2 linked regions of the Yarrowia lipolytica genome follow. The protein of the gene in region 1 interacts with the protein of each later gene in a biochemical or structural test. Links are inferred from orthologs where the notes say so. Each region holds a gene or a part of one and is shown on either strand. Other genes may lie near its edges.

What was found.
Region 2: the proteins of YALI1_B03335g (region 1) and YALI1_E00963g form a complex in vitro, tested with the Saccharomyces cerevisiae proteins (3 studies listed by BioGRID). The link is inferred for Yarrowia lipolytica from reciprocal best matches to the Saccharomyces cerevisiae genes VTI1 and SNC2.

Annotation. Positions count from the first base shown.
Region 1 is NC_090771.1:332,197-335,354, reverse strand, and holds YALI1_B03335g (uncharacterized protein), read right to left. Parts: upstream 1,786-3,158; coding exon 1,686-1,785; intron 1,242-1,685; coding exon 1,183-1,241; intron 1,032-1,182; coding exon 531-1,031; downstream 1-530. Other genes in the region: YALI1_B03324g (uncharacterized protein), read right to left, coding at 2,288-2,681, 2,733-2,890. UniProt on the Saccharomyces cerevisiae protein: t-SNARE found in various SNARE complexes involved in multiple transport pathways. The composition of the t-SNARE complexes is specific for a limited number of v-SNAREs and therefore allows only the vesicles carrying the matching v-SNARE to fuse.
Region 2 is NC_090774.1:95,118-97,983, reverse strand, and holds YALI1_E00963g (uncharacterized protein), read right to left. Parts: upstream 1,621-2,866; coding exon 1,531-1,620; intron 1,086-1,530; coding exon 837-1,085; downstream 1-836. UniProt on the Saccharomyces cerevisiae protein: SNC1 and SNC2 are vesicle-targeting proteins essential for normal secretory traffic between the Golgi and the plasma membrane. They may also be involved in vesicle fusion.

The sequences.
Region 1 (3,158 bases):
GTAAAGAAAGAAAACACCTCTCATAAGTCATTGGACCTCTTATTCCCCCTTAGTCAACTTTCCAATCTCCTAACAATGGTCCTTAGCTTGGTTTTAGACCGCTCCATGCTGTTCATTAGGTCCTATTTCAAATACACATTAATTTAGACCAAGACGGAATAGCGCAAGTGTCAATACTAGAGCAAATATTCATTAGACGACAAAGTCGCGAACAACTGCCAAGTCTCGAACGTGTTATCTGCAGTACTGTAGCCAACTTCTTACTGTTGCTGCAAGGTCTAGAGCAAGAGCATGTATGGAACCACCATTCTCGAAAGATTTAGAAGCCAGCAACTGTACAAGTATCAGGGTTACTCAGAGTGAGTGTCAATGAAGCGAGACTGGCGTTTGCTTGACTCTACGTCTTGGAAGAGCTACCAGTATCCGTTCTTCTCCACTTCCTACCCGCCATAGAACGCACTACCATCACCAACTTGCATTGGATACACCCTTTCATTAATAATTATAGTCAACATTACGTCATTTACCGTCTACCAAAACTTGCTGGCTAGAACCAGCAGAATGAGAATCACCAACACAGCAATGATCAGGTAGGTCAACACCTTGTTCATAGCCATCCTACGGGTCATGGACCGCAGAGTCCGAATACTCTTGTCCACGTAGCCATCTGCCTCCAGCAATGTGTTTCTCGAGTTTTGAATCTGTTCCCGCTGGCCCCGCAGGTCGGTCAGAATGTTGGCTCCAATGGACTCAGTTTCGTTGGCCACTCGTTGCGAGTCTCTGATTCGCTGCGAGCTTCGGTCGAGGGACTCCTGGCCAGACAGAAGCTGCTGTCGCTGGTCGAGAGCAATGTCGCCGTCGCCGGCCGCCGATCTGTCTCCAAAGAGCTCATTTCGAGCGCCAGCCTGCTCCACGTTGGCAAGCTGCTTCTTAGCAGACTGGATTGACTGTCGATACTGTCGCAGGTTGGCAGACAAAGGTGCTCGCGCAGACGAGGGGATGTTTTGGATTTCAACCGAGAGTTGGTCAAGCTGAGTTAGTAGGGATGAGGAGATTGTTGGGCGTCGTGTCTGTAGTCCAGCCGGATCATTAAGACTGTTAAATAGACCGGTCCAAAAAACCAGATCCATTTTTAACCAGTATGTCGTTTGTATCGACCAAATATCCCCCTTCGATACTCACAATTTCGTAGGCCTCGCCAATGGTTCGCTCAACGGCCTTGACGGCAGATGTTCGGGCGTCTGTGTTAGTACTGGAAATTGACAAGTTAAGACCCGTGTAGACATGAGAACGGACCGTATCACTGGAGTAACAGAAAGCAATTACTTGTGTCCCCCATGAACTTCTTCAGGAGTGGTTGAAGTTCAATCGAGCGCCTGCAGGAAAAAGTTGATGGTGACAGGACCATGATTCACTGTCTGGTATTTCACAGTCGTGAATAACAGAATACCCGAATTCCAAAGGGCTATAGCCGTTCAATCAGCGTTTCTTGTCACCAATAGTGAAAGATGCACCGCTGGGCAGCATCTGTCGACGACTGCCAAACAGCAATCTCGTGGTAGAATACGTCACCTGCCAGATATCAGCAGTCGAAAACATTGCGAATGCCACTTGTTCATGTCATTCCTTGTCGATCAAATACCACGTCATTGTCGAGGTTGCGCCCTTGGCTCGCCCATACTCACCTCGCTCGAGCGTCGAAATGCTCTCGAGCTTCTGCTCAATCTCGGATTGCGCCAGCAGAAAGTCCGTCTCGTAGCTCTTGTATAGTTCGCTCGCTTCCATGATGTCGTGGCGGGGGCTAGAATACAGTATGCGTGATAGTGGATAGTGCGTGATAGCGGTGTGCGGGGCTAGGGCTCAGTTCGATTCCTACGCGGGCTGATTTTCAGGATTTTTGAGGGTGATAATAAGAAGGCCGAGAGCCATAAGATGCGCTCCATAGCGGGTCCCACGGTGTATGAAACTCCATTTTCTCAATTTGGACAATTTGAGTGCAGTTTCGCCAATATATATTTAGTTGAATTCACCTAAGTAATTAAACAACTTTACTTACACCATTAGTTAACCGAACATGGTCACCATGGACTAACGGCTGAGCGAAATCTACGATGAGGAGAAATGTACAGCACATACAGGAGAGCTCACAGTACCAAGACAGACATTATAAAGCAAAGAGAGTTCATTTGTTCAATTTTTTTTTTCTTTTCGATCTGCTTTGGACCTGCATGACAGTTCCAGATCTCTTTTCATCCAGCCAATCATCATGCCCAGTATATGCAGTCTTCTACAACATTTCATAGCGGTATCTGAAGGCCCACAACTGTCTTAAGGGGTCACGAGACCTTGTGCGCGTGACCAAAATCCCGCTGGACGACAGACACACTTGAAGCAACAAGGCAGAAAACCGTTTAGCCGCTTCGTTTGCCCTATACTCGACAGACGCAGGTAGTCGGAGTGGATTCGGAGATTCCGGTTGGACACAAAAGAAACGCAGCCGGGACTCGCTCCTTGGCACATAGACATGGCAGCCGCTTTGAGAGTTGCGGGATTTGCTCAGTGAGCTCTGCGCGCTCTTTTTCCGGCCATCTATGCCTCCAGGAAGCGCGCCGACACCTGCAGACGCCGGAAACTGGAGTTGTACGCGCGACAAGGACAAAAGCCGTTTGGTTTTCGTGGAGCTATGTATACGGGCTGCAAATGCGACGGGAACGCAGGGTCAAGTTGGGTACGAGAAGGGGTCGCTTATGGACCCCCTATACGGTGGTTCCTTGTATGTGAGAAGGCGCCACAACCGTGCATGTCCGGTCAGGTACGAGTACGAACTGTACGAGAAAGGCAAGTAGACTGACAATTGTGCATCTGTATCCGCCGCGAGAAGAATGGCCATAAGAGATCGAGCGCTTTTGATTGATTCTTTGTGACCAAACCGCTTTTGTTCAGGGCATTCGAAAATAGTTTATAGTGCTGTTAGAGTCAACTAGAAGGTCAAGTATAGATCAAGTACAAGTTCAGTTCAAACACAAGTGTCGTACAAATGTCGCAATCACTCAATCACCCACCCTAGCTCATAACCTGTCGACACATCCCCCAACGTACTGCGTACTGTACATACAGTACTGTGCACAACCACATCCAGATGCGCCTACTACCGACCT
Region 2 (2,866 bases), on another chromosome or scaffold:
ATTCCCTTGTAGGATTCGCCTGAGAACCGATAATGATTTACATTAACGGCTCAGCTAGGTCGTTGCCTGCTGTACCTTACTCACCTCTGCTAAAGCTGTCTCACTAATCAGCACAGATATCAAACCTCCGTGGGGCACTGTGTGCTAATTACCATACAGTAGTCATGTCCTTCCGGTAGCTACTTTCCATGCCATCCTTATCTTAAATTGTCGTAAAGTCTTATCCTTCCTCAGTCTTGGGTCGGGTATTCCTGAATATCACCACTCTCTCGGTCCATACTAACTCTCTCCAGTTCCCCAGATCCGTGGAATAATTTTGTAGATACCAAGTTTCTGGTAATCGATAATACGATTGCATTTATTATTAGAACTACCATTAGGAGTTTCTCGCACGCCTCTCATACATAATTATCGTCACTCTAGACACATTCCTGACCACAGACGTGACTGTATCTTGCATGGAGAGATGTGTTGATACTAAAACACAATATGGTCCGCATGAGTATGTACAAAGTATTGCCATGTCGGATACATTGTTACTGTAGTTACTACTTGTAGTAGCTCGTACTTCACACCAGGAACACAGGTACAAGTACAGTATATACTGTGTGTAATGCGGATATCTACAACCACAGTATATGCTGTAGCCAATGAAGCTCTTACCTGATGGTTCGTAGACAACACCTCCGTTTATACCAACGAAGATGTTTTCAAAGCTACAGGACCAGTCAGTAAGATGGATGCTTGTGCAAGTATTTCACAAACATCTGGCCAAAGAAAAGTACAGATTCATTACATAGGCATTAAGACCAAGACCATAAGGGGGGTCTAATAAATTATGAGAAATGGATGGCGATAGGGACAACAATGACGACAATCAGAATGATAACACCAATGATGAGACAGATCTTCATCTTGAAGTCCTTCCACCACATTTGCTTCCGCACTCGGTTGGCGCCTCGTCGGAAACCCTGTGCAGAGACTGCCAGGTTATCGGTCTTGTCCTGCAGAGAGTCTAGTCGCTCACCTCGCTCGGCGACTTTGTTGATGTTCTCTCGCATGATACCCACGGTATCATCGATTTGCTGGGTTAGAATTTGTCAGATGTGGTGTTTCGGGGATATTAAGAAACACGGCCAGGGAAATGCGGTCGATAACTCATGGTGATACCAGTCACATGACACGATGATAAAGAGATCTTAACGGTGAAACGGTCCAAGAACGCCGCTCAACAGCTGGCGTCTCACAAGTGAAACCTTCAGCTCTGTTGAGTGTGTAGTCGTGCTTGTTGTGGAAGTCGTGACAGTGTGTGATACAGTTGGGCAGGCATCCGTCATAATCAGACGGTGAGCCATATAGACAAACGATCACCTGATTGCACAAACTGGTCACGCAACAAACAACCGACTCTTCTGATGCCTCCAACTGGCCACCGTGCCTTTACCATCCTCTGAGCTGCTGGTATCTCGTTTTTGTGTCTGACGTTATGTCTCCTTAATTCTCGTGAAAGTGCCACGAATTCATACTCACTGCCTGGATGGCGGCGGTCTTGTGGTTACCGCCGGGGGCGTTGGACTCGCCACCGGGAATGTAGGGGTCGTATGGGACAGAAGAGGACATGTCGGAAGTCGGGGATGTGTGACGACTGTGAGGAGTTGAGAATAATGTAGCCAACTGCAGGACTGGGTATTTTTGTGAGGTTTCACACAACAAGGTTATTTTTAGCTAGCGGCATTTGAATTTGCACGTGACGGGTTGAAAAGTGTGTTACAAGGATATGTCAGGGCTGTGTAAGTGGCAACAGTGGAGCTACGGGTCCGGGTGTTTTTTTTTTGCAGGTTTCCGTTCTCTCGTCCCTGGCTGTATCTCCTTTCTCTACCACACTTTCCCTTCTACGTCATTATTTCAACACGTACGTCTTCTCTGTGCAAGTCCCAAAATCATAACACGGAGTTACAACCAGAGGAGTTGAGGTGATTCGCACTACTTGGGAGAATGAAGGGGGAGATAATGTTTTACTGTAGAGGAATGAGGATAGGAATGAGGTATATCATTAGCTATATACCTACAAGTAGCGTAGATTTAAGTGGAACCGCCACAGTGTGTAATTTCCAACAACTTCGGCACATTTTCTGCACTCGTACATGGCTGTACATACCTCATGTATGGGCTGTACCATGTGTGGCAGAGTACACCGCCAGCTATTTACTGTACAAACGATGCCAATCGGGGCGATGAACATTTGCGGGTGCTGGTTAAGCTTGCAATAGCTACAATTGTAGTAAGCGGTACACTCCACCCTACAAAATCCCAATAGAACGGGCCCAGTACTACGATACTCGTTCGTACTTGTACTGCCACGGACTCTTGTTTAAATAATTTGTCCACATCCGCTTCTGGTTATCAGCACAACACCATAACACATGCAGTCACTCAGCCTATTGTGCCGATAGTTTGATAGTTTGAGGACAGTGGCAACGTATTCATTGAAACCCAGCCTCATGCCGCTGCCCAAGACTGTGTCTATGAGAGTGGAGGCGGATCTTGAGCTTTCGGCGCCTTTTTTAAGGGTAGCCGCCGGTAGCCAATATGGTGCTTGGATACTTTTGCCAAGCCATAGAGATGCCAGACGAATGACAAGTATGATTGGATGGAAAAAATGGATGTGAAGATAGAAAGTACTACGGACTTTTAGTGCAAAGCAGGGGCTCTGATAAGAGCTCTATGGAGTGTTCAAGTTCCATATGTCCACAGCGCACGGTATAGATACGTACCCACAGTGCATAACACAGCTACCCTTACAACCAGAGCATCGACTCCCAAGTATGAAATCGAGATGCAAGTAAACAGTCAACTAAAAACGTGA